4 linked regions of the Oryzias latipes genome follow. The protein of the gene in region 2 interacts with the protein of the main gene of each other region in a biochemical or structural test. Links are inferred from orthologs where the notes say so. Each region holds a gene or a part of one and is shown on either strand. Other genes may lie near its edges.

Region 1 (6,477 bases), on a different chromosome or scaffold from region 2:
AAAAAAGTGAAATATTCTTCTCTTACAAGCGTCTTGTGCTGAGTTTTTGTGATGAACTGGAGGAGACTGAAAAAATCTGCGACTGCGTGAAACACGAATTAGCAGGGAATACTATTTAGATGAGATATTTCTCCATAAGTATTTGACGCTTATGAAATCTCAGTGAAGCAGAGATGAGCTTGTGTCTGAAAGAGGACTTTACACAGGAACCCTGGTTGTCTCCTTCACCACCCACCAAGGCATCCTGACCCCCTCCCTGTTGTTGTTCTCCCACCGCTTCCCCTCCTTGTGTGTGCAATCGTTCCATCCTCTCATTCTGCGGCTCTTTCTCTCATCCACCATCCCTCGCTCCCTGCGCTGCACGGGTTTGTCTGATCAGTCTTCCCGTACACCCGATCGCAAGGAGCGCAAGGCCAACTCCGCTGGCAAGAAGAGGAGGCGCTCGCCTTCACCTCCCAGCACTCCCGCAGAGTCCCGCAAGAAGGGAGGAAAGAAGGGGTAAGAAACAAAACGGGTTAAATAGATTTCAAACTAATCAAACTGCAGCAAAAAGAGACATTACAAACCCACTTTGGATGAAGGGTCCACTCAGCTGCTGCTCAGATTTTGGGAGCTTTTCTGCTAGAACTAAGTGTTCAATGAGCACCAGGTTTGACCTCCATTCACTAAAATCTATGTGGCCATATTATGTTGAAAACATTTAAAATACCAAAGAATTTCTGTCATTTCTCTGAACTAACTTTTAAACTGACTTGTGGCAGGAATCCAGGCTCTCACTGGAAGCGACGGGGCCACAGAGGAGAAGAGGAGGACATGGAGGAGGACATGACAAAGGACTTGGACGAGTCCTCAGCCGGTGCCAGCATGGAGGAGGGCAGTATGTCTAAGAATGGTATGTACTGCAGCCGCAAATGCAGCTGGAGCCTAAATGTTTAGATGTAAGATTATATTTTAGCTACACATCAAACGCAGCCGCATGCTTTGTCCATACAGACCCTTTACAGTGTGACAAATGTAAAACCATCTCAAATGTTTGTAGACGTGTGAAACCTTTAGTATAGAAAAAAGTTTTTCAAAGCAACGAAGACGTACTTTCCTATTATTTTTTTAGGAATGTTTGTCTTAACCAATTGAAATGCGTAGAAACACATTTCAGTCCAAAGCTGAAATCTGCTTTAATTGGGTTGACTGCGTCACCTGATCATTGTTTTTCTGGGTTTTGTTAGATGACATGGAGGATGACTCTGTAATGTCTGGTGGAAAGGTAAGAAAATTCAAAGATTTTATACAAACAGACTATAAGTGAAGGTAAGGCCAATGCACAAAAATCTATTACTTTAAAATTAGACACATACTACTACATTAGTGCCAAATTATAAATTTAAGCATTAAAGTAAAGTGTTTTGAATTTTTAAATTACTTCTGTTTATTTTATATCATAAAGGATAAATGTAAAACAAAAATCCACTTTGGCTTTGACACTCTTGTTAATTTTCTACCAAAGTTTACTGTATCATTAAGGATATTTAGAAACTTTATGTAATAATTTTAATAATTGTCTATTGACAGCCCAAAGTCCTGAAAAAGGTTTTGATATTAACTTCTTTAAGGGGGAAAAACATAATGAGAAGTATTTGAGGATAATTTGTTTCAAATATTTTCCTTTTAAAATATAAAGTTATTACCGGTAGTTAAAAAACAAAGAACATTTTAAAGAACAATACAAATGTTGATTTAATGGTCAAACATAAAATTCCTGATTCTAAATTACATTTTATTGTGCTTGAAATACAAACATTTGCTTCATAAGATTTTTTTAAGAGTTTGTAGCTTTTATGAAACACGTGGGAAATTAGTTTGAACAAAATCAAACTTTGTTCTGTTGGATCACAGATTTAATAGAACCTTTGAGGCCAGCCGTATTTTGTCTTTTAGTTTCTTATAATTGAGGTTTTTCTTGCAGGATGATGAGGAACAAAACAAAGGAGAAGTGAACCGAATGACAGATGCCAACGAGGATAATGTGACCGAACAGACTCATCACATCATCATTCCGAGCTACGGAGCTTGGTTTGATTACAACAGGTACGCTCTAAAAATGCTGCTACCAATAAACGTGTTAAACATTTCTGATGAGTGTGTTTGTCGGTTGCATTAAACAGTCTTTTTTTTTTCTCCTTAAGCATCCACGAGATTGAACGAAGAGCCCTGCCTGAGTTTTTTAACGGGAAAAACAAATCCAAAACTCCAGAAATGTGAGATTATATTTACAGACTCAGCCTCACTGTCAGATACATTTTTCTACATCACACTTTCTAAATCGCACTATAATGTGATTCTTCTCGACTTGTTGACAGATATTTGGCGTACCGGAACTTCATGATTGACACGTATCGGCTGAACCCCCAGGAGTACCTCACCTCCACTTCCTGCCGCAGGAACCTGACAGGAGATGTCTGCGCCATCATGAGGTGAAGAGGATTCAGGGCTTTTCTGCTTCTTTGATGCTCATGTTTTAATCCTGAAAAACAAACGAACAAAAATGATCAGAGAAATTGAATCTGTGAATTTCCCTGTGATGTTTTTAGGGTTCATGCCTTCCTGGAGCAGTGGGGTTTAGTCAACTACCAGGTGGACTCTGAAAGCCGCCCGCTCCCCATGGGCCCCCCACCCACACCTCACTTCACTGTCCTGGCTGACACCCCGTCCGGCCTCATGCCGCTTAACCACAGACCGCCAACGGTAAGCACAGCTCTGTTTAGGTGGGAGCAAAGTCACTTTTACTTTGAAGTACATGTATGATATCGACTTATTAATAATCGAGTTTAAAACTTGAGACATTTTCTTCTTAACATTGTCTGCGAGAAAATAATTACCGAAGCTATATATCTTATGAATTGTCAACACCAAATGCCGGCAGAGTTTGACATTATCACCAACAAAATGTTTTAAATATATATATCAGCTTTCATTCATGAAGAAGTCACTTGTTTTCAGTAAAGAAAAATTAACAGCTTAAAACCAAAGTACATTTTTATTTAAAAAGTGCTTTAATACCTTAGAGCTCTTGATAATTGTCGTAATATTTTCCCAACAGATTCCTCCTCAGCAGCCGATGCCTAATTTTGCAGATAAAAGCAAAGATAAACCCATCGACCTGCAGAACTTTGGCCTTCGTGCTGACCTCTACAGCAAGAAAAACACTAAGGTAAAGGTCCTGTTTGACATTTGCATGAGTTCTGCATGGAAACTATTGGAGATGCATATTCCTTAAACAAACGGCAATGTTGAACTTTGGTTTTCTGCAGTCTAAAGCAGGCATCGCCACCAGAGACTGGACTGAGCAGGAGACTCTTCTTCTCTTGGAGGCAAGTCTTATTTGTTTAGATATCGGCTTCTGTCAGTGGATCACAATTGTGTGTCTGTCTGCACTTGTCTTTATTTTTCTTCTGTGTTGCGACTTTATTTTTCACTCATCACAGGCCCTGGAGATGTTCAAAGACGACTGGAACAAAGTATCTGAGCATGTCGGTTCACGCACCCAAGACGAGTGTATCCTCCACTTTCTGCGGCTGCCTATCGAAGATCCCTACCTGGAGAACACAGAGGCGTCTCTGGGTCCGCTGGCTTATCAGCCCATACCCTTCAGCCAGTCTGGAAACCCTGTGATGAGCACCGTGGCGTTCCTGGCCTCTGTGGTTGATCCCAGAGTGGCCTCTGCTGCAGCCAAGGCAGCTTTAGGTAAAAAAAAAAAAAAAACTATGGAAACACGCAAGGACATTTAGAATTTCATGTCATGTTCTGTTTAACTTTACTGCATCAGTGCTACTTAAGACATTGAGACTGCAATAATTGTGGCATTTTTAAACGTAAGCGCTAAAGCAATACAAATCTAGATTTTATTTTTTTTAATCTGTTCCACTGCAAAATTAGAGGGGAAAAAATCCTCAAGGTTTTTAATTAATTAGATTTTTAGATTTAATTAGCATATTTAAAAAATAAATACTGAACTTGTTTTAGTTTTAGGATGAAATTGTTTCAAAGTATTGTTTTCCGTGCCAGTGTTGTTAATGGTGGACGTCGGCCCTGAACGAGCTGTGAAGATGCTTATTTTTATTATTATTTTTTAATATGGAAATGTCCTTGCTGCGTTTGCAGAGGAGTTTTCTCGCGTTCGTGAAGAGGTTCCAGCAGAGTTGGTGGAAGCTCATGTGAAGAAGGTGCAGGAGGCGGCGAGGAGTACAGGAAAGGTTGACCCCACCTTTGGCCTGGAGAGCAGCGGGATCGCTGGAACTGCTCCCGAGGAGCCAGAAAAGACTGGTGAGCAGCATTAAAGCAGACTTACATTGATGTCTTATGCAGGGCATTTTATATAAGGTTTATTCTTAAACATCAGACGGGTATGATGGCGCCTAAAGTGGGTCAGGTTGGAGGTTTTTCTTCTGACTTTTATATCAAATGCTCCACCTGAGGGCGACATGTTGACTGGAGGAGGTGGTTTGTGTGTGGAGATGCTGGCGTTCAGAGAAGTGAGGGAAAATGAGACTCTCAGACAAAGGTGATATCTCATATCTATCCCATTTGAAGGAGAACTGATGAAGTCTTTGCCAGCAAAAATACTGTGTGTTTATTCTGCCTCTGCAACCAGTGGATTAAAACAACAGTGACAGATGGGGCAGACGTGGGTGGAGGGGTAACAGAAAACTGGGTCATCGTTCTCACTGCTTGGACCCATTTGTCAATTTTTGCTCTGTGTTTTACAGCTGCTCACCTTTTTCCCAAGGAACAGGCCTGCTGTCAGCTTTGCACAGAGAAAATGAGATTATAGTGGCGCTTTGCGATGCTCTTTTCAATTTCTGATATTGATATTTCATGAGAGGTGACAGGTTTTATTTAAAAATTCTGCTTAGATTCACACTGCTGATTTTTTTTATGGTGTTTATTATGGTGCAACACGTTTTGTCATCTTTAAGTAGATAAAATACGCTTTTCTATTCGTGTTGGTGTCTTTAAGATTATTTCAAGTAATGCCTTACTTTAATATATCCTACCTCTTTGCTTGAATCAATATTCCTGAAATAATCTGGAGAAAGTAAGTTGGAGACATTTAATTTCTTCCATGCTTTTGATGCTAAAACATGAATGAGCTACTACATGGATCCACCAAAGCCTTCATGAGGGGCAAACCTCAGTCACAGCTCTAATCGATAAACTTAAATGTTTTCCATGGCTCACTCGGTCTAAAGCACTCAGACAATAATCAGAGCCTTAAGGCTTGCTTAAGTGCCTCTGTGACATGCTTTAACTCTCTGCTGTGAAAACTTTCATCCGTTTCTCTAAAGGTTTCCTTCCTCTGTATCAGAAACGTTTCCTACTTTAACCTTTTAGTCCCATTTTATGAATTACAGCAGTTTGATTTAAAGTGTATTCTATATTTATAGTGTATTTTTTGTGGTAATTTGACAGCCTCCAAAAATTCAGTGGTGACTATGACAATTATCTTTTTTTAAATATCAAACTGATTTGTTCATTTTAGATCAAATTATACATTTTTACACCTTTTCTCTCACTATTTTCACCTTATTACAGAAACTACAGAGCCAGAAAAGATGGAGGCAGACACAGAATCCCAACAGGCCGATAAGGTGAGATCATTTCAGTTTACTAAAGTTATTATTATAATAATATATTTTTTAACTTTATCACACATAGTGATATGCTTTAATTTATCAGTTGTACTCATGAGAATGGAAATGTTATCATTATGGCATAAGATAGAGATACACCAAACTACCAATCATATTGTTCGGTCCATCTGTTGCCAATAAAGTTGTCTTTTCAAAACATGTTTTTCAAAAGAAGAAGAAAAACATATTTAATTGTAAATCAAATTAGTTTGGGAAATTATCTATTAAAATTGAATTGATTGAGTTTGAGCTCTGATACCCGACCTCAGAAACAACTTTTAAAAATAACTTTAAAAAAACTTTATGTAGTGTTAACTCACTATAGTCACAGTCTAATTCATGTTTTCGTGGGATGTGAATTTCAAATGCTCATAATCTTTTTCTCAAGCTCAAGTTGCGTTGTTTCTTTAAGTAGTCATGCATTTGCCCTGGTTTTAAAATCCTACCACTATTGGGTTGTTCCTGAATTTGTGATCACAACTACAAAGGAAGCATTATGGTTTAGTGTCTGAGCTGCTACACCTTCACCATAACCAGAAGAAATATGCTGGAGCAGCTTCTGCAATGATGCACTGAAGGCCTTAATATAAAAACCAGAGTTGAGTACAGTAATGTTTGCTGGAAAGACTCACATTTGATGCCAAATCCCATTTAAAGTAGTCATACAAGGAACTTAGGAGCTCAGGACATTTAAAAAGACAACAAACGTTAAAATCTTTTCGTTCTCATCATCTAGGCTGAGATGAAGGATGAGGCAGAGAAACCGAGCGAGTCTGCAGAGAAGAGCGAA
Region 2 (7,160 bases):
ATGGGAAATGTTAACAACGTTAAGATGGCAGAGCAAAACAATAGCAGGAAGAACAAAACTGCCACTAAACTAAATGTCATGCTTACATATAACATCACTTTGGCTTCTGATGTCAAAGAAGAAGTTTCAAAGTAATAAGCCTTCATCTCCGACTCATTGTTTTGTTGCGTTATTGTCATTTTCTCTGATACAAACGCTACCAATGCACAAAAAATGATTTTATTTCTATTCAAAAATTCAGGATTTAAGCTGATCAAATACATAATCTTTAGTCATTTGTATTCCAAAACCAATTTTGTTGGAATATGTATTAAAAAAAGTAGGGTGGGCAAAAGTATACCTTTGAAAATGTATATTTTTACACCAAAAGAGCTGTTAAACCTCAAAAACTATCAAAGAAACTAGTTTAAAAGAAATTTGCTATATTTATTTGATGAATTGATATTAAAGATTAAAGGAAGACTGATTTTTAAACACAGTCCCGTCTTATACCAAATCATCTTGTGAGATAAAATCACAACAAGGAGCCATAAGCTCACCCAAGTCTTTACATTTAAACCAGTTAAAGTTTCATTAAAAACAGCAATAAAAAACTCAAGATCTGTTCTACAAACTGATATTTACTATTATTCAGTAAGCATGGCAATTTATGAATTATGGTGTCATCAAGATGGCATCAATAAGACATATAATTTTCGGCTAAATAATTGATGGATTTATTTCATCCCATGTAACAAGAGAAGTTGGCCTCAAAATCTGGAGTCAGGTCAACGATCAGTTGATCAGATTTACCAAAATTCACATTGGAATGCCATCACCTTTCAAAGAATCACATGACCTAATTGAAAACTAAACATTTACTATAAAAGTCGGTCGTCATTAGTACTCATAAGGAACCGAAAAGCATCCCATTCAGAGAATAAGAGTGGTTTTGTGTTCAGAGTACAGCATTCAGACTGAAGGACACTTAAAGGAAAACTAAGAGTGTTAACAGACATGGTGAAACTGCAGTCAGCTGACACAAAAGGCTAAGTTCCATCACACTTATCTGTTACCCACAGAACACACTTTGAACGAGCTGAAGGCCAACCCTTCCAAAACACTTGACCTTTTGGTCCTTTACCCCTTCTTTATTTCATAAAGACACCATTGAATCAGGCAAGAGACATCAACAAGGTTCAATTGCCATGACTGCACACACAAATGTAATGTCCTGCACAAGGCAATTTCTGACTATTGATGGGAATCAATTTTGTTTTTCCTGCTCACATCGAAAGAGATCTGCCTGGCTAACCTCATCCAGCTTATTTGACATCAACAGGAAGTGAATGTGACTCGACAGCCTACGAGTCATATCAGAACTGCCCCGGGGCTTGATAACATCTGTCATTTAATATCTGATGAGCGCGTCTGTTATTGCAGCTTCATTCTCACTTCCATCATTGACTAAACCTTCGAAGTCTCTTGAAGCCGCCGCTTGTGTTTACTGCACAGTGGCTGGTGTTGTCCCACACAGCCACCGTGTGAAGCACTGCGCACGTGGATTTGTAAAAAGCACACAGACAGAGCGCAGTTAATCACTCTAGCAGTTGGGATCACGTCAGCATCTTAAGGCGGACTCTGTGACACCGGCATGCGTGCTTTCATACCTTCATACAGACCGGGAGCCGTCGCACAAACCAAAATGGCGACACTGCACACAAGTCTGACTCTGGAGCCACAACAGAGATCTGGCTGTTTTTAAACCGGGAGCGACCTGTCGCTGCTGCGGCTCTGCTGTGTGGAAAAGCTGGGCTGCAGCCAGCAGCCACTGAATGAACCCAGTACCCTGACAGCGGGTCACATGATCTGCAGTCCGGTGGGCCACCGCCTGCCTGGCTGCCCTGATGTCAGAGACGCTTTCAATCATTCATTTTTCTATCTAAACCTTTGCAGGGAGAGGGGGGGGGGGGGGGGGGACCCCTTTCAATACTAATCAGTGCTATGAAGCAAAAGATGTCAAATAGTTTGCTTGTGACTGGGAGGACAGAGACAACCGTCCCATGTGTTAGAGGCAGGAAGCAAAAAAGAAAAAACAAGCAGTCATCAAGACACCACCAAATTCACTCCAAATCAATAGATTCAAATCTGGTTTTCCTCATTTTTCTGTTTCCGTTTTAGTAAGCAAAACCTGGCAGCTGGTTTGTGGTTACACAGGTAGAACAGTACTCTTTTTTGAAATCATTACAAGAAAGACGAGATCAAACATTCTCCCCTGATCCTGGCAAAAGAAAACATTGAGGCAATGCTTGGTGTGCTTTAAATGCCACAATAGGAACAGGCATTGGTGTGATCTACTACACCGTACAGCGTTCCTCTTTTAGGTTCCTTAAAAAAATAACATCACCAATAATAATAATATTAAGGCTAAGTGGAGTAGTTGTTACTAAATACCAAACCACAGTAGGAGCAATCTTGACAAGCAAGAAGCTTAATCCTGTGATGACATGAACAGCAAACCCTTTATGACTCCCAGAACTGTTTTCACTTTCAGGCTGTCCAGACAGGCTGTGCAGAAGTGTACAGATGCAGCTCAGAGCTCAACTTTGAGCTCTTCTCTGATGTGATTGTTTTTGTTTTTTTGTTTTTTCCATCAAACGATGGAGAAGCCAATTTGAAGGCAACCTGACTCACCTGCGCAACAGCCTGGACCATCTGGGAGTCTCTTTTGCAGAAACCAAACGTTTCAAGCAACAACCCTCTGATCCAGCATGCAACCGGTGGCACATTTGCGTCAATGAAGCTGCGAGGGCATTGGGTGGGAGGCTGCTGGTATTTTCTAAATAAAACAGGGAGAGCCCAGCAGTCACTGGCTGCATCACCACGCCAGCTTGTTGCGTCCTCTCCGGGGGTCACATGTCGCGTCCCCTTGTGTACACAAACTGAGGCAATGCAATCTCATGACCAACAAAACAACTTTGACACTCAAGAGAACAGCCCGCCTGGGGACAATGTTCTGGAAACTTCCAGAGACGGAAGTCAAACATGATTTCACACTTCCATGAAGGCTGTCCTGTTCCCATGTGCAGCACCTCCACATCTATAAGACTGCTGGGGAGGAAAAAAAAGAAAAGAAAATAAACTACCTTTGGCTAAATGGGATGCTTTTAGTAACAGTCATCGCTGTAGGTGGAATAATGACAGTGAGGGCAGTAGAAACCATAAAAACAAGCATTATGTCATTGAACTGATTACTGGAGAGGAAAACATGAAAATAACAGTTGAGGCCTCTCCTTGAGACCTCCCTGGTGTCCGAAAGCCAGAGGCCAAAAAACATAAAATGACTGAAAGGACACGTTTTCAAGAGTGCAGGGTGACAATTCCCAGCAAAGATTTGTTGACAGTGATAGAAACAAACCTTTAATAGCTGAAGCTGAAATGTGTGGCAGCATTTCTGAGCTCAAGAAGAAGAAGCAGTAAACAAAGTGCTAATAGATAACAATGAATGAGCTGCTCTGTCTATTATTGAGCATTTAGTTTGGACTCAACTTTTTTTATTTATTCTTTTATTTCTTTAAGGCCCAATTACGTCAATATTTTCCGTGAGTCTTCACAAAGAAACGAAAAATGAATGATTAGCGTCTGAAAAAAGTGTCTTTCTGCGGTTGGTGCAAAACCACAACGAGTTCATAAGCCCTAAACTGGAACGCGGCGATTCTACGGCGACAAAAAAGAGCCATAAAAGTGTCTCATTTCGGGGGTTTTCACTTCGCAATGGATAAAAAAAGGATATGGGGCCTAGCAGGGCAGCTTGGGTGAGAATAACCGCATCCCATGTAAGTACAATGGGGACCTACCCTGTCTGGCTGTCGGCCTCTTGCAGTTTAACCACGCGACGGAAAACGCGGCCGTTTACCTGTGCGGGAACTCAACAGCGTGTCCGTCTCATTACAGTGGGCCGTTTCGGCGGTATTTTGAGTTGGTAAGTCCTTCAACAATGTGCACAGAAGTCTCTCATTTACTCCGTTTCTCTTGCCTTTCTTCCACTACACCTCCCAAACGCGCTGTCTGCAATGCCTCTGTGGCGGCCCGGCTCTCCCGGGTCCTAGCGCTGGTCTTTTATCAGCTCCACAAGACGAGCCGTTGGATCTCTGCTGTCCCGTTTGGGAGAAATGATTTTTTTTTTTTTTAATGGAGCGGGTCTGCGAGGTCTGGATGCACTTGATGAACTCCTCTGTGTTCTATCTGGTGGTGAAGCGGGTGTTTGGACCCCCAGAGGTCCCGCTAATGTTTGAAGGGGTCCTTCCTGCAATGAATGACTTGATTCACTTCATGGAACATGAGATTCTGTTCAAGATTGATTTACTGTAGGAAGTCAGTGGTGATTCATTTTTGTTAATTTGCTGTGGCTGTAATCTTTGCTGGTATGATCACTCAGAGAAAACAACAGGTCCAGGGCAGAAGTGAAAGTGCAGAATTTGAAGGATGATTGTCAAAAGAAAATAGGATGAGGAGGAAGGAGGCTGAGAGGAAGATGCTGAGAGTCTTTGTCACAGAATAAACATGAAAAAAGCACACGTTGGAAAAAGTGAATCAAAAATAAATGCATGAATGTCACCAAATAAATAAGTTTTTGTCTCAATTTTGTGTGTGTGTGTGTTTGTTTTTTATTTTTATTTTTTATAGCAAATATAAAGCAGTTGGATAGGACGATTAAACAAATATAAAGCTGGTTGGAACAAATAATGTGTTTTTTGTTAAAATACGTATAAATCAGTAAAGACTTTAAATGTCAAGAATGATAAATATGCAAGGCTTGGTGTGGAAAAAACTTGATCTTTCCAGTAAAATATATAAAAAAAGGTACATTTTATTTATGCCCCTTATTTTCATGCACTACACATAAGTATTTACTTTTATTACATACAGTATACATTTTTTGACACTTTTTCAATATTATTATCATTCTAAAAGAGGGGTTATGCTTTTATTGTGGGAACTCTGGTCACTTAGTATCACAATGCACCATCCGTTTAAACTCCAGTACCCCCTGTTAGATGACTGGCCACGGGGGGATAATTCTGAAAACTCCAAAGAAAATAAATTTATTTTTGTTCCTGTAGAATCTCTCCCCAATTTTCATTCACGAATATAGGGCTCTTATTGACTCTGGCGCTGAACACAGCCTCATCGATCAGCATCTCCTTAAACAACTCACGTTACCCACCGGGCCACTCGACTCTCCAACGCTGCCGGGTTAGGTGGTCAACAACTTTCCCGGATCACGAATCGTTCCAAACTTATTCTCATTCTCACCTCCGGTAACCATAGAGAATATCATAGATTTTTTTTTTACTCAATTTCCTCAGACCCTTATAATTCTGGGGTGCTCCTTGCTCCAACTTCATAACCCTCATATTGACTGGTTTACTCTCCGCATTTCCAACTGGAGTACCTTTTGTATGACTAATTGCCTTCATTCTGCTATTCCGTCCACCATTACATCCAAACCTGATTCTGAAGAAAACATAGATTTGTCTGAAGTACCTTCTTGCTAACATGATCTTAAATCGGTATTTTGTAAGACCAAAGCTAGCGCCTTGCCACTCCACAGGCCGTATGACTGCGCTATCGAACTTCTTAACGGCGCACCCCTCCCTAAAGGAAAATTATTCAATCTGTCAGGTCCTGAAAAAATATCCATGGAGAATTATATCCAGCAAGTTCTCTCCTTGGGTCACATCCGTCCCACATCCTCTCCGGTCGGTGCAGGTTTCTTCTTCGTGGAGAAGACAAATTCTTAAGACCCTGCATTGACTATCGTGAGTTAAACCAAATAACAGTAAAAGACAAGTATTCACTTCCACTCATTGATTCCTTTTTCGATTCAGTCAAAGAGGCACGTATTTTTTTCCAAGTTAGATCTCCATAATGCCTATCATCTGGTTCGCAACCGAGAAGGCGACAAATGGAAAACTGGCTTTAATACACCTTTGGTCCACTACGAATACCTCGTCATGCCTTTCGGACTCACTAACACCCCCGCAGTATTCCAAAGGCTTGTAAACAATGTTCTCCGTGACTTCCTCAAAAGATTTGTATTCGTTTACTTAGATGATAATCTCATCTACTCTACCAATCAAACACAACACAAACACCATGTCCATCTCATTTGGAAAGGTTATGAGAAAATCAATTATTTGTTAAATCAGAAAAATGTAAGTTTCATGTCTCCACCGTTCCCTTTTTGGGTTATATTATTGAGGCTGGTAACATCCGACTAGACCCAGCCAAAATCGAAGCCCATACCATTTGGGAGATCCCCGAGACACGAAAGAAATTACAACTGTTCCTGGGCTTCGCCAACTTCTATAGGCGATTTATTCGTAATTACAGCAGCATTGCAGCACCCCTCACTGAGCTCACCTCTGTCAATAGACCATACGTTTGGACTCCGGCAGCTGACACTGCCTTTACTAAACTCAAGGAACTTTTTGTCTCCGCCCCTATACTCATTCAACCTGACGTCCAGAAACAATTCAACGTCGAGGTCGACTCCTCTGATTCCGGAGTTGGGGCCGTACTCTCTCAACCTGAGGGTTCATCTGGAAAACTCAAACCATGTGCCTTCTATTCCCGCAAACTCAACCCCGCTGAGTAAAATTATGATGTCGGGAACCGTGAACTGTTGGCTATAAAGCTCGCACTAGAAGAATGCCGTCACTGGCTGGAGGGGGCAGAACAACCGTTTAGTTTGGACAGACCATAAAAATCTTGCTAATCTACGAAGTGCTAAACGATTGAATTCCCGTCAGGCCCACTGGTGCCTGTTCTTCGATCGTTTTAATTTTACCATTACCTACAGTCCTGGAAGCCGCAATGTCAAGCCAGATGCGCTCTCCAGAAAATGCAACACCACAGGATCCACCACAGAGTCTACCATCATCCCTACCTCCTGTTTTGTGGGCAGTCCCACCTGGGACATAGAAACCAAGGTCCAACAAGCCCAAGGTGAGAGACCCAATCATGCACCATACCCTCCTGGAACTTTGTTTGTTCCCGATTCTCTTGGGTCAGAAGTACTCACCTGGGGACATGCATCCCAGATTGCCTGTCATTGAGGGGACTATTGGTCTACTCAAGAGACTTTTTTTTTTGGCCCTCCTTGGAGAAAGATGTCC
Region 3 (6,477 bases), on a different chromosome or scaffold from region 2:
TTTACGGCGCTTCCTCAGTCCAGAAGCCTCTAAGGGTTCAAACTACCGTTGGAGAGGAATAACAGGCGGAGAGCTGTCTGTCTGTGGAACAGCCTAGAATAATGCAAAAACAAGAAGCTTTTATTCTAAAAGGATATTTCTACATTTCTGTTTGATTCAAAGTGATGATGAGATGGAGAACATTCAGGAAAGAAGTACATTAACCCTTAGTAGTCCAGGGCCTTTTCTTTTACTTTACAATATCCTCTAAAAATGTATCTTTAAAACAGTTTTTTGTGACGAGCCTTGACATCATTTTCTTTGCACAAACTCAGTTTTTTATACAAATATCTATTTTTTATTATATTGCACAATAACACAAAAAAACCTGAAAGTGTATAATGAAATAAATTCTGATAGATACTGATGGTACATACTTGTATAGTCTATAGATGAGGTGCACTGAACCATAAGGCAAAAGAGTCTGAGAATTGCAGAGTCTTTATGAACCACATTCTCAGTAACTCTGGAACATGTTTGTAACACGCCACACGTTAGCCACATTAGCCTATACATAATAACGCTCAAACTTGTTTTCAACACGTAAAAACAATGGACAGATGCCTCTAAAACAACCGTAACTGTGACTACGCTAACTCCAAACCCTGTTAGTAACAGGCCAACATGCTAGATGTTAGCCGCGTTAGCATATATAAGGCCCTCCGAGGTGTAAGGTGCTGTCGTTTTTTGAAAAAAACATTTAAAGAAAAAAGGTTTTAAGTGGGCCTTATTGTACAAAAAATCCTGTTGTTTTTTCCCTGCAAAAATCAACTGTTTACTTTTACATTATATAACAAAGATCAAACGATAGAGACAAAATAAAAAAGTTTAAATCTAAAAACAAACTCAAAATGATAAAAAATATCTAAAAAAAACAGCTGAAGCTCCACTAAACTATTTTAAGGTTTATGTTTCATATAAGGTTTATGTTTCATAACTCTAGGTATATTTTTTTAAACAAAATGTCAAAGCTAAAGACTTTTTAAACCTTTACGTAAATATCGAATGAAATCAATTCTAATGGGGGTGGGGGGGGTCTGCATCCTTTCTACGTCATTGGAAAACTCACCGTGAATTTAGAGACTGCTTAGGTAAAAAATAGTCACGTTTGATACGATGGAGTAAAAATAGAAAATTAATTTGCAATTTTAAAGCCATAAACCTCTCAGACTGAGACGCTGCTCAGTTCAAGTCAACATTAATACTTTCTCAAAGCCTCCATCGGTGCCCTTTAAGAGAAACACAGCCGAAGCAGCCATTCATCACTCCTGCAGGTTTACGCTCCTCCAGAGCGAATCTGCCCCATCAGCAGAAGCAGCTGCACAGAAAGGAGTCGTAGTGGAACTGAAGAATCAAACCTCTCAGTCGATCTCATCAGCCTTATGCCCATTTCTCCATCTCGCCTCTGCTTCGCTAATTAGACGCACATGTATGATTCATGCTTCAGTGGAAATCCTCAGGTTGATGGTTAGTGATCTAATTTCATCTATATAAAAGCCCCCCCCCCCCCCCCCCCCATCCACTTGTGCATCAACCATAGTAGGAAATGATGTATTGTGCATTGTGTCATCATTGATGACAAAAAAAATTTGCAGTTCAATTTGTGCTTTCTTTTCAGAAATGACCACAAGGGAGGGGGGGGGATTTTTATTTATTTTATTTACTGTTTTCAGCTGTTTAACCCTTGTGCTATCCTAGGCACTTTAACATTGGGAATATGGTCATCTAGACCCATTAGACAGTGCGCTGAACCTTTTTTCTTCAATGATTTGTGATCTTCACTGGTGTCCATGGATTACATGAAATCCTCTACACCTTTATCCACCTTTGTCATGGTAGGGAGAACACGTCAAAGTAAGGGTGGGCTCATCTAAGATAGCACGAGGGTTATTAAGCTGCTCTTGTTGGCCGTCAAGGTCATTTCCACAGGGGGCCTGAGTTAGGCTGAGAAAGTCTGAGCTCCCGTCATCCTCTACACCTAAACCTGTTAGCACGCTGAGGACTTGCTTAAAAAATCAAGTTTCAAAAAACCTTAAAAATATTTGAGATTCTACTATTTTGGATGCATAAGCTGCTCAGGCAGTGGATAGAGACTTTCGATTCTCCTTATTAGTGTAACACTGCCATCTAGTGACTGTAGATGTTATTACATTTATTTTAGGTGACAGGACATAATGACATTGTTTCTAGAAACAGATGTGTGGCAGTTGTTTGCTCACAAGGGTCTTAAAGACCCACTCTGATTAAAAAATAGTGTTTTCAACATGTTTTTGGTCAAATACAGCATACCGTATATCAAGAAAATATGAATACATTTCTTTGTTTCAAATAAATGAAAATAAACACAAGAGTTTATAGACATAAAACAAAACAGTGTGCTTGAAAACGAGTGGATTGAAGAAAAATCTTGTATGATCCCACACCTCATGATGTGGGTATTTCTATTTACAGTTTTGTTCAAAACATTCACATTACATTATGTATAGTAATGTAACTCAAATAGGAGCCGACAAAGAAATGCAGTTTGGAAAAGATTGGAACGAAAAAAATACACTGGACGGGCCAAAAGCTCCCTGCTTCATTCTAGACGACTAGATCCGTGCACGTCTTCATTTTCCTCACTCAAGATGGCACCTGGCTCCAAACTGTGCGGCTATGTCTTAGAAAACGATACAGATTTTTCCATTTTGCATAGAAATGCCATAGTTCTGATAAAAATACCAAAAGATGAATAGGAGTGGAACTTGGAGGCTTTGTGTGGAGTGCCCATGGTAAAAACCCCTCTACTTATGCTTCTGTTGCAGAAGTGCCAGCTTCTCTCAAACCACTCGCAGCAACACGCTGACGGGGAGTGACTCTCCAGTCCAGAAACTTTCCTACGGCTTCTCACACTGTCTGAATGGCACAGGATCTCAGCTGCACGGCTTCTACAGCCTCCCCAAGACAGGGCAGCAACAGCTCAGTGTGCACGACGGCTCCCCCCAGGAGGCCTGCTACGTCCTGCCGCGGGGCTACAGCTCTGAGGCTCCGCTCCACAGCAACTTCAGCGACCCCGATCTGGAGAATGACGAGGTCTACACCTTCAAAACCCCTTGCAACGCCCTCGCCACCATGCACAGCAACGAGCGCTCGCCTGACAACTACGACTTCCCCACAACGCCCGGCTCCTTCTACCAGATCCCGCGGACGTTTGACAAGAACCACAATGCGCTCACACCCCCCAGCTCGGAATCCTCCTGCGCTCCGCCTCCTAGACCCCCTAAACCAAGCCAGGGGTCAGAGGGGCAGAGGGGGAGTCCCCGCTCAGCTGGAAGTCAGAATGGGGAAGTCAAGTCATCGGTCATCCCACGCAGGAACACTCTCCCTGCTGTGGAGAACATAAGGCTGCACAGAGGTACATTTTCTTCTTCTAAATAAAGATTGTGTTTTTAACGTGTTCTTGGGGCATTTTTCTGATGACCATTGAGCTTAAAATAACATTTCTGAGTATTTCTTTATTGAAATCATGAATAAGAAGCAGACCCAAAACTGCAGTTTAAAAAATAATATATGTATAAAATAAGCTGGGCGGGCCATATGCTCTTGGCTCCGCCCCTATTTGATCCATCTACTTGTAGACGACTAGATCCATATACGTCTTGGTTAACCTTGACCGAGCTAGAATCTGACTCCAAGCTGGTCGACTGGACGGCTCCAGTGTTTTTGTTGAACTGGTTATGTGAGGTTGTGGGTGCTATCATGAAAACAGAAAGCTCTCAGCAATGGAGAAGGAAAGGGGGACAGGGTTATTCACGCCAGCGGTCCCGCCGACAACTCTTAAGCAAATTTTCTAAACCTGCTCTGCAGAAACTATGCCTTAGAAAACGACAGATTTTTTTTATCATTGTTTTTGCCTTAAAACAGCATCGTCATAATTAAAAGACTACTTACTGAAATAGCTCAAAAGTTGATCGGAGTGGGTCTCTAAATCATGTCTGGATCGACCACGCCTCTTTCCTTATGGCTCCTCTGCCTCCCCTTGACCCCCCCCCCCCCCCCCCCCCCCCCCCCCCACACCTCCTTTTTTTTCCTGCCACTGGACAGAAACAAAGGCCTCAGTGTAGGAATCATTGCTTCGTTTAGACGCTAATGAAATTCAAGTCATACAGGCCGATCCGAAATGCCTGGTTCCAGACCGATGAGCCGCTTTTAGAACAGTACCGCTGGACACAGCGCTTGAATTCTTAATTTGCCGTGTTTGTTCCTTTGCCAGGTCCAGGCTCAGGCTTCAGAGAAAAGGACTGATTTGTGACCCTCATTAGTGGGGCCTCTGGCTGTTCACAAACCTGCGCCACAATGACTAACTGTGGTCATATGAAGCACATAATTAGATGTCACTTGTTTATTACATGAAGCATTTCAAAATGTCTTTTTTTTTTTAGTCCAACTAACCTTTTTTTTTTTAGGATTATTGCGACACGTGACTTTGGAATTGTTCCATTTGTACTTTATTTTTTTGTATTTATGGTAATAGAAACGATTGAATTTCTCATTTGTCATGAAAGGCTCCTCCTTTGAAACCAACAACCATCATCGTCTTCATTTCAACAACCAGTCGGTAGAGTCCGTCAACGACGGATTCAGCTCCTACTTGGTGAGTTTATACCAACGCAAAGTCATCAACCACAGAGGAGGAAAGCCTTTTATGTCGCATCCTTGTCTTTACTGAGGGTGAGGAGGCGGCGGCCGTCACATGACCTCTGTGTCTTTCAGCAGCTGCGAGCCCAAGCGCCTCTGACTCGCTCCGACAGCGGCAACTCGGATGACAACTACGTTCCCATGAATCCCGGCTCCTCTCCGCTGAGCGCCTCCCAGGCTGACAATCCCAGCGACATCTACATTCCTATGACCCCTGGACCACACTTTGATTTCCCAGGATTCTCTGCCACGTTGCCTGCCCGCAAGGGCAGCAGCGCCTCCCTGTGCCACCGGCCCACTCGTTACAGTGATGTCACGCCTCCGCCTATTAACCGCAACCTGAAGCCCAACAGGAAATGTGAGGTTTTTTCCCCCTGCGTGTTTCATTTGTGTGTTTGATTTCTGTTTTTCCTTTTTGACCTTGGGTTAGGATGATCTGCACAGCATTCTTTTAACTTGTAAAGCTCTTAGGAACCAACTCAAATGATACACAACAACACCCACATGTTGCCTTTGCTTTAAATGGCGTAACTAGATTTTTTTAATGGAAGATCTGTGCTGGTGTTTTCCACAGCGAAGCCGACGCCTTTGGACCTAAAAAGCAATGGGATCATCGACGAGCTGCCATTTAAGAGCCCGGTTACCATGTCCTGGACACGACCCATGTGAGTCCCTGCTTTGATGTTCGCAGACGTCACGCCGACGACATTTGTTGGGCGCATTGACTGTATATGAGAACCGGACTGAGCGAGAGTGACGTCGGTCACCGTTTTTCCCCCCGATACGGATGTTTTCATGTTGGAGCCAGACGTCGTCAGTAAGCAGTGAGTCGGTCTGAGGCAATGTTTCTATGGCAACCACTCTCGCCAGTCAGAAGGGAGATTGTTGGAAGGCCACACCCCCCACCACTTGAAATCGGGCCACAAGAAAACTGTCAAACGTTCCTAACGTAGGACGTGAGATCCAGCAGGCACCACTTATGTTAATCCAGGCATCTGATTGGCCAGTTTATAACTTAGAATAAAGAAAAAGAATTGGCAGGAAAATGTTAAAAAGGGTATCAGAGCAAGAATAGTTATTCTGACTAATAGAATGACTGAGGAGCCGCTGTTTATTTCTCTAGAGAAGTCTATGGGATTTTCCTTCCTGGAACCAGCAGGTACTTCCTGTTTGGAACGCCGGGGGTACAGTTCTCATAAACGGTTAATGTTTGGGCTGGTTGTCGTTACCGCATGGAGTCATGGTCGCATCATTTCACTGAGCTTCGTTTTCACCAAGAGCTCGTTGTCACCAAGAGTCAGACCAAAGTCTTCCCAAGAAAAAATAACAAAATGCACAGAAGGAATCAGCTTGTCGTTTGGTCTTTACAGAGGTTGTCAGCTGATCTCCTTCTTTGAACCCCGACCTCCCGACCTCAGCTCTGACCAACGGCAGCCTCCCATGGTCATAGCCCCGCCCACACACTCTATAGGCACTTGGCATGTTGGATGGCAGAAACAGCAAATCTGGACTCTTTAATCCACATGAATGTGATTTTTCAAAGCAAACTGAAGCTTTTTCTTTTAATTAGCTTCAGTAGCAGCTAAAGCTCCGGTGTAAAACGTTTGAACAACACTGTCGGTTCTTTTTACAAATTTGATTTAAAATGATCGGTGATCTTCATCGTTCCAGTTGTTTTTAGCACATTTTCATAATAACATTGACAGGATTGCCACCCTACTAAAGCATTAACCCCTTTGCCTCAAATAAAAGATCCACTTT
Region 4 (6,477 bases), on a different chromosome or scaffold from region 2:
TACATGGGGTTCTAAGATTTTTCAAGTTGCGACCCTCTTGTTACTTATAAAACAGATTAATTTGTGATTTTTGTGATTCATTTTAAGCTAAACTTTCAGTAAAATTATGTGCCCCCCCCCCCCCCCCCCCACATTTCAATTGACCTATTAATGGAGCTCCTGTATAAAAATGTACACGAATGTAAAAATGCAAAAATGTGGTTGAAATTAAGTAAAACAAAACAAAAGAAACCTATTAAATTAGAGATCAGACTTTGAGTGCCTGGACACCCAGATGCAGTGTGGACATGTTTTTATGATGGTGAAAGAAGCCATACTTCCACAGTTTTTATACACCAAAAGTGTGAGCCCCTCTTAGAGCCTGGGTTAGGTCATGTCCACGCCGTCCTAAGTTCAAATCATTTTGTTGTTTTTGCTCTACAGACCCTGCCAGGTTCCAGGACACCTGGAGACTGTCTGATGGGTTTGTTGCTGCTGAAGCTAAAGTCGTCCTTCTTCATCGGGCCCGCTCAAGGTGACTCATAATAGCCAATAACATAGCAACTGTTTCACTTTGAATGCTTACATGATATTCATTTTTTCTTTTATTAGGCCTGATCTGATGGACAACTACCTGGCGTTTGTTCTTTCAGCCTTCATCAGCAGCGGGCTGTTGGAGGTGAGCCACATTGTTTTTATTTACTTATGAGCTCCGTCTTTATTTTTTCGGATGCATCGAGCTAAATTGTAAATTGTTGTATGACAGTGCAGTATTGCATTAAACTTTGGCTGTGAGTGCTTACGGTGATGACGCTTCTGTTTTGGAACATTTTGCTGGTGTAGGGCTTGGTGGAAGTGGTGACCAGCAGTGATGACCAGCTTTCTATCAGAGCCACCATCCTCCTTGGAGATCTTCTACATATGGTAATAAAAAACTAAACAAAATCTTAAACATTTTAGAAAGCTGGATTGAAATCATTTGTCCTACTAAAGAGCATTGGTGTCATTTCTTCTGACAGTGCGTCTCTGATTTCCTTGTCTCTGCTTCTGTGTGGTTTAGGCAAACACCATTCTCCCTCACTCCCACAGTCACCACCTTCACTGCCTCCCAACTCTCATCAACATGGCGGCCTCGTTTGACATCCCCCAAGAGAAACGACTGTGAGTCCAGTCTGTCCCAAGGCTTCTGTTCCTCCTCATGAGAAAACTGTCATCACTACAAACACAACTATGTCCGAAAATATTTACACACAAAACATTCAAGTGTTGCCCGATCTACTTATAATCAGTGCTGATGGGTTACATCCAAATTAAATGGACTACTAAAAATGTTTGTGTTAATAAATGTATATAAATATTTTTAAAGTAGTACTGTAACATGTAAAGTTTGTTTAAAAATTCATCCATCAAATAATTTAGAAAAGTAATCTAGAAATATGTCTAAATCCAAGGTCAGTGCAGTGAAATTAGATTGTCTTGTCTGGAAGGGTTGTCTAAAGAAAGCTTTTATATCCTTAAAAATGACAAAAATTAATTTCACATCCAGAGAGACTTTTGTCAGGCTTTAAGAGAAGCTAAGGTGGACATAACAGAACCTTAAAGGTTTATGACACTTCCCACTGAACAGTTCATCTGGACAGATAAGTGGTGTTTGGTTGTCGTCTGATGTGGTGCCGTGTTTAACTGTCGAATCACAAACTGCTTTCGTTAAGGGATGCAGGCAATGCATAGAATCGTTTAAACTGTTAACCGTCGTAAAAACGGGAGAGAAAATTTGATGATGGACCAGGACAGTTGAGCTCTAAAGGAAATCTACAGATCGCCCTAAAGTTTCTATCATTTCTACTTTACATTCATTTCTAACATGAGCAAACAATGCAAGTTTTTGTGTCTGAGCTGTGTTTATTTAAACTAGTGCTGCAGTTTTCACATTTTTTTATCAATTCATAAGATCATCTCTTTTCTTTTCTTTTGTTTGTGTTCCAGTCGTGCGAGTGCAGCAGTGAACAATCTGAAGCGCTTTCACGAGTGGAAGAAGAAAGGTTTGAAGCCGTACAGTCTTTACCTGGATCACATCATTCGCAAGTCCGTGTTGACGCACAACCGCAGAGATTCCCACTCACGAGTCCAAAAAGACATCTATGTGATAAAGGTAAGCTTCCTTCAGAAGTATTTTCCACGCATATTATCAGGCTTTGCATGTACAAGTTGTGCTTTTCCTAAAAAAGCAAAGTGTGGACACCATCCATCCATCCATCCATCCATCCATCCATCCATCCAATTCCATATACATGCTGCAGTGAATGAGAGTTATTACATTTTTAAAATTACGTCTTTTCTGTTTAAATAGAAAGAAAATCAGTGTCTCCTTTTATTTTTTTAGTTTAGTTATACAGAACGCACTTCATTGATGCTTTCTTTCAGTTTCCAGATCTATGTTGCACAAAAAGAAAGCAATATCACAGCCATTTTCAAATACTAAGCTTCGTTGATTTTCCTTTTGCTTGCTGTCAAATCAAGTTTGGCTTTCTTCTGATTTTCAGGACGCAGAAGAAGCACTGATGCTGAACCTGAGAGACAGTCAGATTCTCAACCACAAGCAGAACCTGGAGTGGAACTGGCTGCTTATAGCCACCATCCTTAAAGTCAGGCATTTCACATGCAAAACAGATTAATGGCTTTCCACCCTTTTCTAAAGTTCTTCTTCTCTTTCAGTGGCCAAATGTTAACCTTAGGAACAACAAAGATGAACAGATGCACAAGTATGACGACACAGTTCTTTTGAATGCTTAAAAACTCTGTTAAATGTTACTCTGACATCTGAAATAATTTTTTTTTTTGCTGCAGGTTTGTTCGAAGGCTGCTGTATTTTTATAAACCCAGTAGTAAATTGTACGCAGGGTTAGCATTGGACCACCCAAATGCTCGACAGCTCACTGTGGTTGGCTGTCAGTTTGTGGAGTTCCTCTTGGACTCAGATGAGGTTAGATCAAGTAGCACAAACATGTAAATAAATCATTCGTCATTTGATTCCTCATCAGCTCTTTATCGTTCTTATTTTCCTCCCTGCTGTCACAGGACGGTCAGGGTTACCTGGAGGATCTAGTACGAGACATGGTGTCATGGCTGTCCTCCTGTTCGGGACTGAAGCCCGACCGCTGTTTGCAGAGCAACGGCTTACTCACCACACTAAGCCAGCACTACTTCCTCTTCCTTGGGACTCTCTCTCCTCACCCACAGGGAGTCAAACTACTAGAGAAATGTGGCCTGTTTCAATGGTGAGAGATTTGGTTTCTAGGAGCTTTCCAAAGCTAACGGAGTCTGACGAAAGTCTGGGGCATTAAACAAACATTTTTCTTTCATTAAAAGGGGGGCACCAGCAGTTTTGTTTTCTACATGTGTAAAGCATGCTGGCAACAACATAATTAATTAGTCTGCATTTTTGTTATTTGCAGCCTGCTGAATTTGTGCTCCATAAAGAACCAGGATGCTCTGCTAAAGCTCGCTGTAACCACATTGGACTACAGCCGAGACGGTCTGGCCAGAGTGATCCTCTCTAAGGTCCTCACTGCAGCTACTGACGTAAGACAACCCCGAATGTATGCATAGCCTTTCAATGAAATACTAGGGGATCATTTTGTAAAAAGAAATCATTAATGAATAAAGATATAGCTCTATGTTAAAGTGTAAAAAAACTTTCTTTGAATTTCAGAGTTAAGAGGCATAAGATAATCTGATATTTCTGAATGTTCAGAATTAATGGATGTTCTTTCTGTCTGACCTAGCAGACGTGCAGGCTGTATGCCACCAAGCACCTGCGTGTCCTCCTGCGCGCGGGCGTGGAGTTCTTCAGCAGCTGGGGCATGGAGCTGCTGGTCACGCAGCTTCACGACCACAGCAAGGTGGTTTCCATAGAGGCTCTGGACATACTGGACGAGGCGTGTGAGGACAAGGTGACTGAAACTGTGCTTGGCTTAGATCAGTGGTCCCCAACCTTTCTGTCACCGCGGACCGGTACAACGCAAGACACGTTTACCGCGGACCGTTGGGGGGGGTTGAGGTGCAACGCAAGGCACGTTTACCGCTGCCTGTTAAAGGCACATTTCCCTTTTTTAGCGGGTGCAAGGTCCTCTTCTGTCCCTTCATTGGACCGTTTCCCCTTGTCAAAGCAACTTTCTAAAGAAGTTTGTTTTTTGCTCATTTTGGTTGTTTGGGTTTAATTTTGGCGGGGTGTATCACGTGATGTTTGGTGTCGCGACTTTGACGTGCATTAAGTGTGACGGATGTAACAGAGAAAATCCGGTCACTTTTCAAAATAAAACGTTTTTTTCGGGAAAAAAAACAATAAAATGGAAATTATTTTTTCTTTCTGTGCGTCCCGGTGCCAAAATTTGGGGGACCACTGGCTTAGATGATTCACAAAACAGAAGGCGTTTGTGTCATTTCAATTAACAGTTTCTCCTTCAGCCAAATAAAGTTTTTTTTTTTTCCCATTTGCTAGTCAACACAGAAATAATGTTAAGAACAGATTTTGGATCAAGCTGACTTGTTTGACCGTCTGCTGTTTCACAGGCCAACCTTCATGCTTTGATCCAGCTGAAGCCCGCTGTGTCCCACCTGGGAGACAAAGGTCTCTTGCTGCTCCTCAGGTGGGTTTTCTGGGTGGACTTACCACGTGCTTTTCCATGTAAAAATTGCTTTTCTCCAGCTTCCTTCCTCAGTCCATAAAACACTTTTTAAAAGTAAGTTTATGCCTCTGACTTCCTTTTTGGGGAGAACAACAGGTGGGGTTGCTGTCGACAGCAACACCCTGGAAATAGTGTGTGCATTAACAAAATCAAAATCATGTGATTTTGTTCACCTCAACATACTGGCAGGATAGCTTTGTTGTAAGTGAGTTACACTCTTCGAGTAAACTGCTCAAGATGTCTTGAAATTATATTCTAAGCCTATTTCAGGAATTGTTGCATAAAAAGTTATTTCCGTTGGTTTTGGTGAACCATGTTTGCTGGTGAAATCTAAAACCTTAACCAAGTTTTGATTTTTTTTCTTAATTTGCTGAAGGGAATTAATGTGTTCTTACGCCCACGTTTTATGGAAAGTTGTTTGGAAAACGACTGATGACACATTGTGCTGACAGAAGATCATCACTTTTGAACAACAAAAATGTGAAATAATATCCTATGTTCCTTGAAGACCCACTCTGAGGAAAATCCTGTTTTGGCAGTTTTTACTTGTTGTTCTGGCCTTTTCTTGTCCATTGCCAAAATGAAAGTTACATTTTATTTTGCAGGTTCCTGTCCATTCCCAAAGGTTTCTCCTACCTCAACGAGAGGGGTTATGTCAGCAAACAGCTGGATAAATGGCAGAAGGTATTGGGAGAATTAAAAAAAAAGAATAAATCAAAAGAAAAAGAAATGTAAATGCACCAAATAAAAATTCTTCAAAATAGGCATTCTTAAATGACTTTAGTTAAGAAGAGATATCGATAATTGTTGGAGTTTGACTAGTCTCTATGGGATTGCAGGAGTACAACCTTAAGTATGTGGACTTGATAGAGGAGCAGCTCAATGAAGCACTGACAACTTACCGCAAACCTGTCGATGGAGACAACTATGTTAGACGCAGCAACCAAAGGTGGGACGATGGATTTCTTTAGAGTCTAATCAGATGCAGTGCTTCTCTGGTTTTTACTTTGATTCTTTGAATCCATCTGCAGGTTACAAAGACCAAATGTCTATCTGCCTGTGCACTTGTACGGTCAGCTTGTCCATGATAAGACGGGCTGTCATCTGTTAGAGGCCCAGGTAGGGCGTCTTATTTCTCAGCTTGAATTTTTCTTTTCTTTTTTTTTTTTTTTTGTTAGTTGTCCGATTTGACGGTTTTGTTGTTGTTGTGTGCAGAATGTGGTTCCAGACCTCAGCTACACAATCCGCTCCCCGATGCTGGACACCTGGGAAGGAATTAAACAGCTGAAAGCGTCTCTCTGGGCTCTGGTTAATAAAGCTACTGATTGAAGTTACTCTTAGAAATGTAAAAGTGTCCTTTTTTTTCTGATGGTTTCTCTTTTTGTGGTACAGGGTAACATTGGCTCTTCAAACTGGGGCTTGAATCTCCTGCAGGAGGAGAATGTCATTCCTGATATCCTGGTGCTGGCGCAGCACTGTGAGGTTTTGTCAGTGCGAGGGTAAGCTTTGTTCTTTCCTTTAGACTAACACCTGATTTACACCGGCCCGTCTACGGTGCGTCTCCCTTCCGCTGTCTTTGGGAGTCCGTCTCGTGACCGTCAGTCATTGTCTCAGTTGAATTTCCGGTCTGTCCCCCCTCAACCCCGGCTTCTGGAGGAGTTGGTTTGTTCTGCTACCACAGTATATAGTAGTTCATTCCGCTTTCTTTGCTTGTTGTGTCATAAATTATGTTCTTTTTGTACTTCCAATATTACATCGGCCATAACAAAAATGGACGACAGTGTAGTCCGCCGCGGTATTGTGCGTTATC

The links.
Region 1: of the proteins of akt1 (region 2) and smarcc1, one has a biochemical effect on the other in vitro, tested with the Homo sapiens proteins (2 studies listed by BioGRID, with this or other methods). The link is inferred for Oryzias latipes from reciprocal best matches to the Homo sapiens genes AKT1 and SMARCC1.
Region 3: of the proteins of akt1 (region 2) and gab2, one has a biochemical effect on the other in vitro, tested with the Homo sapiens proteins (2 studies listed by BioGRID). The link is inferred for Oryzias latipes from reciprocal best matches to the Homo sapiens genes AKT1 and GAB2.
Region 4: of the proteins of akt1 (region 2) and rictor, one has a biochemical effect on the other in vitro, tested with the Homo sapiens proteins (7 studies listed by BioGRID, with this or other methods). The link is inferred for Oryzias latipes from reciprocal best matches to the Homo sapiens genes AKT1 and RICTOR.

Annotation. Positions count from the first base shown.
Region 1 is NC_019874.2:27,735,749-27,742,225, reverse strand, and holds part of smarcc1 (SWI/SNF complex subunit SMARCC1), read left to right. Parts: intron 1-379; coding exon 380-498; intron 499-761; coding exon 762-892; intron 893-1,226; coding exon 1,227-1,264; intron 1,265-1,963; coding exon 1,964-2,085; intron 2,086-2,183; coding exon 2,184-2,255; intron 2,256-2,357; coding exon 2,358-2,471; intron 2,472-2,588; coding exon 2,589-2,742; intron 2,743-3,097; coding exon 3,098-3,208; intron 3,209-3,308; coding exon 3,309-3,368; intron 3,369-3,482; coding exon 3,483-3,741; intron 3,742-4,158; coding exon 4,159-4,320; intron 4,321-5,589; coding exon 5,590-5,645; intron 5,646-6,423; coding exon 6,424-6,477. UniProt on the Homo sapiens protein: Involved in transcriptional activation and repression of select genes by chromatin remodeling (alteration of DNA-nucleosome topology).
Region 2 is NC_019880.2:14,665,152-14,672,311, reverse strand, and holds the start of akt1 (RAC-alpha serine/threonine-protein kinase), read right to left. Parts: upstream 4,090-7,160; 5' UTR 3,837-4,089; intron 1-3,836. UniProt on the Homo sapiens protein: AKT1 is one of 3 closely related serine/threonine-protein kinases (AKT1, AKT2 and AKT3) called the AKT kinase, and which regulate many processes including metabolism, proliferation, cell survival, growth and angiogenesis.
Region 3 is NC_019871.2:6,588,093-6,594,569, reverse strand, and holds part of gab2 (GRB2-associated-binding protein 2), read left to right. Parts: intron 1-2,843; coding exon 2,844-3,433; intron 3,434-4,583; coding exon 4,584-4,672; intron 4,673-4,791; coding exon 4,792-5,074; intron 5,075-5,290; coding exon 5,291-5,381; intron 5,382-6,477. UniProt on the Homo sapiens protein: Adapter protein which acts downstream of several membrane receptors including cytokine, antigen, hormone, cell matrix and growth factor receptors to regulate multiple signaling pathways.
Region 4 is NC_019867.2:18,749,473-18,755,949, reverse strand, and holds part of rictor (rapamycin-insensitive companion of mTOR), read left to right. Parts: intron 1-423; coding exon 424-514; intron 515-591; coding exon 592-658; intron 659-822; coding exon 823-903; intron 904-1,039; coding exon 1,040-1,140; intron 1,141-1,965; coding exon 1,966-2,131; intron 2,132-2,522; coding exon 2,523-2,624; intron 2,625-2,694; coding exon 2,695-2,741; intron 2,742-2,826; coding exon 2,827-2,962; intron 2,963-3,057; coding exon 3,058-3,257; intron 3,258-3,434; coding exon 3,435-3,561; intron 3,562-3,767; coding exon 3,768-3,932; intron 3,933-4,551; coding exon 4,552-4,628; intron 4,629-5,272; coding exon 5,273-5,351; intron 5,352-5,506; coding exon 5,507-5,616; intron 5,617-5,698; coding exon 5,699-5,786; intron 5,787-5,882; coding exon 5,883-5,975; intron 5,976-6,059; coding exon 6,060-6,166; intron 6,167-6,477. UniProt on the Homo sapiens protein: Component of the mechanistic target of rapamycin complex 2 (mTORC2), which transduces signals from growth factors to pathways involved in proliferation, cytoskeletal organization, lipogenesis and anabolic output.